3 linked regions of the Ovis aries genome follow. The protein of the gene in region 3 binds, or shares a complex with, the protein of the main gene of each other region. Links are inferred from orthologs where the notes say so. Each region holds a gene or a part of one and is shown on either strand. Other genes may lie near its edges.

Evidence for each region.
Region 1: TXNL4A (region 3) and U6 snRNA-associated Sm-like protein LSm3 share a complex: the UniProt entries of both Homo sapiens proteins name them as parts of the precatalytic spliceosome. The link is inferred for Ovis aries from reciprocal best matches to the Homo sapiens genes TXNL4A and LSM3.
Region 2: TXNL4A (region 3) and PRPF4 share a complex: the UniProt entries of both Homo sapiens proteins name them as parts of the precatalytic spliceosome. The link is inferred for Ovis aries from reciprocal best matches to the Homo sapiens genes TXNL4A and PRPF4.

Annotation. Positions count from the first base shown.
Region 1 is NC_056080.1:116,710,732-116,713,216, reverse strand, and holds U6 snRNA-associated Sm-like protein LSm3, read right to left. Parts: upstream 1,261-2,485; 5' UTR 1,248-1,260; coding exon 939-1,247; 3' UTR 636-938; downstream 1-635. UniProt on the Homo sapiens protein: Plays a role in pre-mRNA splicing as component of the U4/U6-U5 tri-snRNP complex that is involved in spliceosome assembly, and as component of the precatalytic spliceosome (spliceosome B complex).
Region 2 is NC_056055.1:10,447,119-10,450,871, reverse strand, and holds the start of PRPF4 (U4/U6 small nuclear ribonucleoprotein Prp4), read left to right. Parts: upstream 1-937; 5' UTR 938-1,021; coding exon 1,022-1,054; intron 1,055-1,790; coding exon of another isoform or gene 1,791-1,793; coding exon 1,794-1,971; intron 1,972-3,753. UniProt on the Homo sapiens protein: Plays a role in pre-mRNA splicing as component of the U4/U6-U5 tri-snRNP complex that is involved in spliceosome assembly, and as component of the precatalytic spliceosome (spliceosome B complex).
Region 3 is NC_056076.1:701,698-705,441, reverse strand, and holds the start of TXNL4A (thioredoxin-like protein 4A), read right to left. Parts: upstream 2,801-3,744; 5' UTR 2,722-2,800; intron 2,244-2,721; 5' UTR 2,229-2,243; coding exon 2,076-2,228; coding exon of another isoform or gene 1,997-2,075; intron 366-1,996; exon of another isoform or gene 305-365; intron 7-304; coding exon of another isoform or gene 1-6. UniProt on the Homo sapiens protein: Plays a role in pre-mRNA splicing as component of the U5 snRNP and U4/U6-U5 tri-snRNP complexes that are involved in spliceosome assembly, and as component of the precatalytic spliceosome (spliceosome B complex).

The sequences.
Region 1 (2,485 bases), on a different chromosome or scaffold from region 3:
GAAATGTGGGAAAACTAAAATGGAAATAGCTCTCCCAAGACTTTCATTGGTATGGGAGCTAAAAGGGAACTAATATTTTCTATATCTACTATGTACAAGGTCTTTTTTATATACCATAACTCATTTAATCCTCACAACTATCCTGGGAGGTAGGTGGTGTTATCTACATTTTATAAACAAGAAAATCAAGGCTCATAAAATTAACTTCCACGAAGTCTCACATGTAGGAAGTGGTAGAGTCGAGATTCCATCTCCATTCCCATTCTTTTCAGAACACACACCTGCCTCTTCAAGAAGAGAGCTGTGGGACTTCTTGGGTGGTCCAGTGGCTAAGACACATGGCTCCCAATGCAGGGGGTTGGGGTTCAATCCCCATTCAGGGAATTAGATCCTACATGTCACAACTAAAAGAACCCACATGTCGCAACAAAATTGAAGATCCTGTGTGCCATAGCTAAGACCCAGGGCAAACAAACAAATAAATAAATATTAAGGAAAGAAGAGAGCTATATAGCTGATTCACTTTGTTGTACAGCAGAAACTAACACAACATTGTAAAGCAACTGTACTTCTCCCCACCAAAAAAAAAAAAAAAAAGAATTCAAAAGAAAGGAAGAGCTGAAAACATATGAATATTTTTTTAAGTTTTGTTTTTATTTTTTATTTTTTTTTATTTTTTTTATTTTTTATTTTTTTATTTATTTTTTTTTTTCTGTATCGCGCCGATCACATTTATTGGAAGGGTTGGAGAAAAATAAAAATGCCGTTTAGCTGAAGTATTTGTGAGTTATCTACAAATCAACTTATTTCAGGAGTGGAAGAATTCTTGCTTATTTTCAGCATCAAGATGCACATCGGTCTCTCTTTGGAACATCTTCCACACTCAAAGAGGCCACCGCACAGCACAGCCCGTCTCCCACAGGCGGCGGATTCTCGTTTCAGCCAACTCTCAATGGCGGGGCAACCAGCACAACGCCGTCTCCCCGCACAAAGAGCATCGGAATATTCCGTTTTGTTGATTTATATATTTCTTCATATGTTTCTTCATCAATTTCTATAGTTGTCACAGTTTCTTCCACATCTCCCAATATCATATTTAAATGTTGATCATAAGCGTGTAACCGGCCTCGAAGTTCTCTGTCGTTTCTCATCTTCACGTAGATGCGCTCGTCCAGGCTGAGCCGGATGAGATCCAAGGGCTCTTCCACAGTGTTGGTGGTTTGTTGCTGGTCCACGTCGTCCGCCATCTTTCAAACCCTCTTAAGTTTTGTTTTTAATGTGGACCGTTTTTAAAGTCTTTATTTGTTAAAATATTGCTTCTGTTTTATGTTTTTTTGGCTACAAGGCATGTGGGATCTTAGCTCCCTGACCAGGGATCTAACCCATATTCCCTGCAATGGAAGGTGAAGTCTTTCTTAACCACTGGACCACCAGGGAAGTCCCCACAAAACGCATTTTAATTGAGTGAAGAAAATAAAACATTTCATGTTTACAAAGACAAAAGACATAGCAAAGAACTTGTGGAAAAGCTGAAACCAAGAAAAATGAGATTTTTGGAAGTTGGAAGACAGACCTTGACCAAATGAGATCATCTTTAGGAAAGAAGTAAAGCCTGGATCCCAAATTCTCTACTGCGTTACCCAGTATTTTCTCACGTGATGATGTAGCAACCACTTGGTAATCATGGAGGAAAAGAATGACATCTGGAGCCAGGCCGACAAACCAGAGCCAGCCACGTAAGATGGTGCCGAATGAAAATACTAGCTTCCCCAAGACACTCAGAGATCTTTCCCCAGCTTTTGGATGGCAGAAGGCAACGACAGGGCTTGCAGCCAGTGCCCCAGCATCTTCCTCCTCACCCCTTTTGACTTTATTATTCCTGATAACCTGGTCATGCATATACAGCTACCAAACATTAAGTTTTCTTGAAGTCTCACAGCTTTGGGTTTTCTTACCAAGTCATGTGACTCAGATCTAGGCCTAGGAAGTAAACACTGTTTCCTGAATCTCAAATACCCACTCTACTTATGTTATTCTACACCTCCAAGAAGCTCTTGTCAAAACAAGATTAAACACGGCAAGATTTTATTAGGAGAAATGACTGTATGAAAGTAATTAACCTCCAATTAAAATAAATAAATTTATATTTAAAAAAAAAGAAAATAGAGAAGGAGCTGTGAGTGAAGCCTGACTGGTAAGGAGGGAAAGAAGAGAAAAGGATGTATGGAAGCAGTTGAGACTACCAGGCAGTCTAAGGAAACTTCTGCAAGACCTTGAGCCAAAGTTGTCCAACAAAGGAGTCCACATGTCTGCCTTAGTATCCCTGCTGTACTAAGTCATGGGTGCTTCCCTGGTGGCTCAGATGGTAAAGAACCTGCCCACCAATGCAGGAAACCCGGGTTCAGTCCCTGGGTGGGGAAGATCCCCTGGAGAAAGGAATGGCTATCCACTTCAGTATTCTTGCCTGGAGAATCCCATAGACAGA
Region 2 (3,753 bases), on a different chromosome or scaffold from region 3:
CCTAGGGGAGAGGAGGGGGCTCTTTCCAGCTCTGGAAACATCAATATTTTGAGCATCTCCACCCCCTACAAGGAGAAGGAAATGGCAATCCACTCCGGTACCCTTGCCTGGAAAATCCCATGGATGGAGAACCCATGGGGTTGCAAAGAGTTGGACACGACTGAGCGACTTCACTTTCACTTTCACGCCCTACAAGGGGGCAAGAATCTTGTCTTGTCCGCCTCTGATGCCCCAGCACCCAGGGCAGCAGAGTCGTGCAAGTTGCTTGCTTGCAGTTTACCTGACGCCTCACATTCATCATCTCTCTCGGAATAAGACAGAAAGACCTGCTGAAGACAGCAAAAGCGGGGCGTGGCTCCTCCGCCTGGTCTTTATTTCACTTCGGCGCTAGAGGGCTCTTTGAACTTATTGTTTCACCACTGCCCAAATTCACCGAAAACCTACCCAGCCCAGAAGAAACTGCCAAGAGAACTTCCTGACAGTGGAGGAGAACAGCACTCCCGCCGCAGCTCCTGGGCTGCACTCAAGGGTCCAGGGCGAGAGTTTCCATGGCAACATAGGCCTTGGCGCCAGGAGGACTTAGAGCCCCTGGCCGGGCCGGGAGCCGATAGTAGGCCCCGGAATCCCTCGATTCGCTCCCTGAGTTCAGTTCGCAGCCGCGCGATTCCCCGCACCTACCTCTTTTCAGGCCTGTTCAGTCCCTTTCCGGAACCTCGGCGCCCACCCCGAATCATCCGCTAAGCCAACTGGACTACACTTCCCACACTGCCTCTGAGTTTCTCTCTTCGCAGAACCTTGGCCTCCGCGTGCTTCTCTCTGAGGCTCTACAGATCACATCTCTCAACTCGCCCAGACTCCCTCCTACTACGATTCCCATAATGCTCCACGCCTCCCAGGATGCTGCGTCGGACCTAGGACCACTTCCGGTTGGTGACGTAGTTCCGCTTTGCTGGGCGCGCGGTGGACGGTCTGAAACGTAGAGCGCGGCTTTCGCTGAGGCTTCGCGTCCCCGGAGCCCAGCATGGCTTCCTCACGACCCTCCTCCACGGTACAGGTCTCATTCTGGCAGGGAGCGCTGAGGGGGTGGGGGGGTCCCTGCGAAACAGGGCCATTAGGGAACGGGCTACGGCGGTGGAGGGCCGAGGAGGAAGGCTTCGGTGTTTTCCTAATTCTTGGGTGCTTCCATCTGTTTTAGCTCGTTTTCACCTCTCACTCCAGCCCCGAAATGTAAATATCTCTTCCGTCTGGTTCAGAAACGGAGCTCTGAAAGGGAGTAGAGTCTTGGCCAAGATTTATGACACTTTCAGAACTCTTAATTGTAACGAGGCCTCCTAACTTATCTACTGCTTCATATCCGAAACGTTTGAAATGTATGAACAGTAGCTTTCTAACTTGGCCCCCGTACCATCGCGTTGGTTATTTCAGTTATCCTTGATACCCCTGTGATGAGCAGTAATTGTGGAAATTTCATAAAAGCCAAGAAGAGATTTCACCTGCTGCAGCCGTATGAAATACACATATTCAAGAGAAAACCTTTGACAGAAAAATCAGCACGAGAAATTGACTAGTTTTATCCATCTCTTCCTATCTACAAAACTTAAGTGATTAAGAGACTGGAACCACTCTTTCCCTCCACCCCCAGATTAAGGAAGACACATTTTAACTGGTGTCTGGTTTGTCCTTTGTGTGGGGAAGAAATAGGTTTGAAGCTCTAAATAAGCTTCATTCTGCTGCGAAACCTATTAGGCTGCTAAGATTAAGCTTTAGGTTAACCTAGGTCTTTGTTTTAGCAGGCAACCAAAACTAAGGCACCAGATGACTTAGTGGCTCCTGTTGTGAAGAAACCACACATCTATTATGGAAGTTTGGAAGAGAAGGAGAGGGAGCGTCTGGCCAAAGGAGAATCTGGGCTTTTGGGAAAAGAAGGACTCAAAGCAGGAATTGAAGCAGGAAACATTAACATAACCTCTGGTAAGATTCAAATTGTGAGTTCATCTTTACCTTTGGTGCTCAAATTTTCTGTAATGATTACCTTCTTCATCTTAAATATCACTAGTTTATGTCAAGAAACTACAACTAATAAGCTTGCACCTATCAAAGTCCATATTCTCCACCTACCTGACTTGGTCTTATCATCCAAAGAACCTTTTTCTTAAAACCTTTTATACAGTTTTCCTTCAGTAAACTGTTAGTAATTTTACTAGGAATTTATTTATTCAGTGTGTATTTGAATTCAGAGTGATTTCCTTTGTCTTCTGGAGATCTAGTGTAGTTCTGGCGTTAGCTTGGAGCTACTGTGTTTCCTAATATTCTCCTCTTTTTAGTTTTTCAACTGTTTTTCACCCAAAATGAAATTATCTCTTCTAAATTTTAAAGTGATAGCCATCTTTATTTTGAAAGCAATTAAACAATAAAGAAACATATGAAGTAGAAAAACCTGTAATCTGTATTAATTGGAGCTATGTCATTTCAAGAACTTAATAAAGCTATAAAAATACACTTTTTTTTCCCATAAATGAAATCACGATAAACCAATTGTTTTGTAAGCTGCGTTTGTCATTGTGATACTGTTAAATGGGCTTTCCTGATGGCTCAGTGGGTAAAGAATTCACCTGCAGTGCAAGACACAGGAGACAAGGTGGCTTTGATCACTGGGTGGGGAAGATCCCCTGGAAGAGGAAATGGCAACCTACTGCAGTATTTCTTGCATGGAAAACCCCATGGACAGAGGGGTCTGGTGGGCTACAGTCTACCAGCTCTCAAAGAGTTGGAAACAAGTAAGCCAGTAAGTATGCACACACTGTTGAGGGTATTTTTTCATGCCAGTAACTAGTAGTCTACTATATTTTAAAAATAAAATCATTCATGTTTGTCATAAGAAATTCAGAAAGTATGGAAGGGTATAAAAAGACTTCTGTGCAGATAGGACTTCTGTTGTTTCTCATCGACCCTCCCACACATTTTCTTTTCTATACGTGTGCACTTTTCATGAGTTTTAAACCTTTTATGTTATTTTAAACATGACTGCATCACCCTTGTACTTCTCACTTCTCATCCAAATGCTTGTTTTTTATGTGAGTTTTAAAACTAGCTACTAGATTATCCAAAAAGCCTTGTAGTTAAGGCTTTATCATTTTCATGGTAATTATTTCCAGTTCACTGTTAGATTTGTTAGTGTTCCTATACTGAGACTATTTCAGAGAGTAGCTTTGGCAACTGTTGAAATAATGTTTCTATTTTGCCATGGATAGAAAGCCTAGATAACTTGTTAAAAGTGCTCCATATTCTCATTGTCTCATGAAGGCTGTGTGTTTATGTAAGTGTAAGTTGCCAAATGAAACAAGATGACTTGAACCAGTTTCTGGCCTTTAAAACCTCATTTAGTTTTCTGTGTTTGGCATACTTTAATAAACTGAGAAACTAAAGTTTCTAACAGATTAGTTAACTGTCCCTAGAGGCATGCAGCGGAGAAGGCAATGGCACCCCTCTCCAGTACTCTTGCCTGGAAAATCCCACGGACGGAGGAGCGTGGTAGGCTGCAGTCCATGGGGTCACTAAGAGTCGGACACAACTGAGCGACTTCACTTTCACTTTTCACTGTCATGCATTGGAGAAGGAAATGGCAATCCACTCCAGTGTTCTTGCCTGGAGAATCCCAGGGATGGGGTAGCCTGGCGGGCTGCCGTCTATGGGGTTGCACAGAGTTGGACACGACTGAAGCAACTTAGCAGCAGCAGCAGAGGCGTGCAAACT
Region 3 (3,744 bases):
CCATTTCTGCAGAGGGAGATAGACAGTTAAATTGTTCTTTATACTAAAACCTTAGATTTCAAAAATTCCTGTTGAACGTCCCCAAAAAGGGCTTCCAAAATTATAAACTCATATTCTGCCCTTACACTAAGCAGAAAATAGAACATTAACATTTGTGTAACGCATTTCAAGTTTGCATTTTTAAAGACTATACTATTACATAGTATTAGAAGTTTATTAAAATAGAAATCGGGATAAAAGAAAAAGAATCACTTAAAAGACTAGAGAAAAATACTCCAAGTGAGCCCAATTAAACTGTTCTTACCAACAGGTTCCATTCCAAAAAGAGCCACCTGCTAGCAGTATAGCAATCTGGTCTCTGACCGCTACATAGGGATTAGAAAAGAACAATTCTGGTAAAAGTCCCTAAAAACTTACACTGACACAAAATCTGTCTCCTAGCTAAGAGTATCTTGCTGAGTTTTGCTCAGATATGAACAGCAAACAACCCTCACGCCTCTGCCATTCTAGCCTCGTGCTGAGGGCCACCGGGTCTGGACATCCCCTGATGCTTACTTGTCACCTGCAAGGCAGAACCCAGAACACCCACCTAAGTTACATCAGCGTCCACACAGCAGTGATTCACTTACTGAAACAGGGTCTTCATCCATCATCACTGACTTCTGCAGTCTCTGCCCTTAACCACTGTGGCTCAAGTCATGGGGAAATGACTTCTGGGCACCACCTCACTCCTGACCTCGGACCTGACAGGGAGGACCCAATTGGAAGAACCCTGCTCTCCTGAGTTCCCCAGGCATCTCTTCAAGCTCCCTCAACACCTTTCTGTCCAAGAGGAAGAGGAGGGTAAGGTTATCACCACAGACTCCTGCTCTGACTTGGATCTCCTTGAAGGGATTCAGAATTCCTGGGGGAGCTTCTGGATCTCATCTCAGATCTCCAGGATCAGACTCTCTGAGATGCACTTTCGGTGACAGACACAGAAAGATAGTCCCTAATGTTCAGAGTGCCATCACCCCTACCTCACTCTGCCTGTCCTACCAAAGAGGAGACAGTGAAAATTACTGATGGCAGGTCAGACTACTTTTCAATTCCTAAATACAAACTATATCCTTACACCTGTTACTCTTTACTCAAAGGAGTTATTTTAATCCAGCCCATACTAGCATATCTTACTCCTGTGAAATAAATGATGGCTTCAATGTTTCCCTTATTTTTATACTCTTTAATAAAATGAATAACCTCTCAAATTAACATTGAATATTAAACTTTTTATTAATACCCTAATATTTTTGCCTCTTGCCCTATTACTACAGTTGCAAAAATCTAAATCAAATTTACCTTAAAATACCCATGAGACAATTACAGAAAGAGAATTAAGCCCTAGTTACTCAACAGTACCCTACAATTGCTCTTTATTGTCAGCAAAGGGCCACAGACAACCCCCTGTACTAAATTTAAGGATTAGGAAAACTAGTTCTAACATTACAGTTCTACCTTTTCCCAGTGTTTCCTACACTGGTATCACTCTAAGCTATAAATCAAGTCACTTACAAAGAGCACCCTGGGGTAAAGAAGGGACTCAAAGAAAAAGAAGGGAATTTACTATGTTGTTACCATAGATGTTCTGCTCAATACATACAACAAACAAACACGGTACCAAAAAAAAGTCAAGTTTTTTAAACTAAGCCATTCAAAGTAAGCTCCTACACTCAGCCAAATGCTGCAAACGTGTTTTGCTCCTGGCACTATAGATGTAAATTTTTGAAAACACCTATGAGTTAAAACCGCTATAAATTAATAAGAATCACTTCTTCAAGGAGAGACATCATGAACCTCTTAAAAATTTGAGAATCTATGGAAACTTCTGCCAGTAAGGATATAAGCTATTCTGACCAATTTCAGGGAGCCCATCCTCATACTCCAAGGTATGTCTGTACTTCTGTGAATCCTACTGCTTCTCTTTAACCGGTGAACTGGCTGTACTTTTAATTCTTACCGGCAAAACAACAGCAATCCGACAGGATGCAAACACCAAACCTGGCGGCAGGACGTGACGGGAGGTGTGGCTGCTTTACCTTTTCAGCAATGCTGTACAGAACCTCATCCATCTTCATGCAGGTAGGGTCCCAGTCGTGCCCAAATCGAATGACGACCACGCGGTCTTCTTCCGAAAGGATGGCCTGATCAACCTGCCAGCCATTGTGCAGGTGCGGGAGCATGTACGACATCTTGAGCCAATGGGTCTGCGGGGGAGTGGAGGGAAATCACCGGCCAGTTCCTCCCAGCCCCCCCATGGCACACCCACGGGACCCCCCGCCCCACGGAGCCTCACCACGGGGGCCCCACCCCACGGAGCCTCACCACGGAGCCCACGGAGCCTCACCACCGAGCCCACGGAGCCTCACCACGGAGCCCACGGAGCCTCACCACGGAGCCCACGGAGCCTCACCACGGGGGCCCCACCCCACGGAGCCTCACCACGGAGCCCACGGAGCCTCACCACGGAGCCCACGGAGCCCCCGGCTCACGGGGGCTCACCCCGAGGGGCAGTCGATGCGCCGCCCGCAGGGCCAGGCCCGCGTCTACCAAGTTCCGACCCCGATCCCGCCACAGGAACGCCACTGTCCCCCGGCCAAGAAACCAAGGCGAGGGGACCCCTGGAATCGCACACCCGCGCATCACTCGCCGCCCCCTTCCCACCGTCTCCAGCCGCGCACCCACCTCTGCCCACACCGGACCCTCCCGCTCAGCAGTCCTTCCGGGCGCGGAGCGCTCCCACAGGCCGAGAGCGCCGGCGAGTGAGCCCGCCCGCCCACAGAGCGTGAGCGCCGGCGAGTGCGTGCGCGCGCCCGCAGAGCGTGTGCGCCGGCCAGTGCGTGCGCGCGCCCGGGCCGGGCAGGGGCGTGGACTCCGCTCAGGTACTGGGGCTGAAGGTGGGTTTAGTGTCATGAGCGTCTTAGAGGCGGCGGCTGCTTCAGACCTACTGTGTCTCCAGTGAGTCGGCGTTCAAGTTTCCTCGGTGCGACTGGGACCAGGGAGTGAACGAAGAGGATAACCTCTCTGAAGAAGGGCTCGTCGCCGTTCACTCCCACACAGAGCCCCCTAATTATTTTGGAGGCCCTGCTTTCCAGACGCAAGCACAGTTGCTTTACTTGTGAAAAGCGGTTCATTAACAGAAGAGTACTGGTAAGACGCAAATGCCCCCCAAATAAGTTATTGAAATTAGTATTTCTAAACATTTTTTGTTGTTCAGTTGCTCAGTCGTGTCCGACTCTGCGACCCCATGAACCGCAGCATGCCAGGCCTCCCTGTCCATCACCAACTCCCGGAGTCCACCCAAACCCATGACTATTGTGTCGGTGATGCCATCCAACCATCTCATCCTCTGTCTTCCCCTTCTCCTGCCCTCAGTCTTTCCCAGCATCAGGGTCTTTTCAAATGAGTCAGCTCTCCGCATCAGTTGGCCAAAGTATTGGAGTTTCAGCTTCAGCATCAGTCCTTCCAATGAACACCCAGGACTGATCTCCTTTAGGATGGACTGGTTGGAACTCCTTGCAGTCCAAGGGACTCTCAAGAGTCTTCTCCAACACCACAGTTCAAAAGCATCAATTCTTCAGTGCTCAGCTTTCTTTATAGCCCAACTCTCACATCCATACATGACTAATGGAAAAACTGTAGCCTTGACTAGACTGACCTTTGTTGGCAAAGTAATGTCTCTGCTTTTTAAAATGCTGTCTAGGTTGG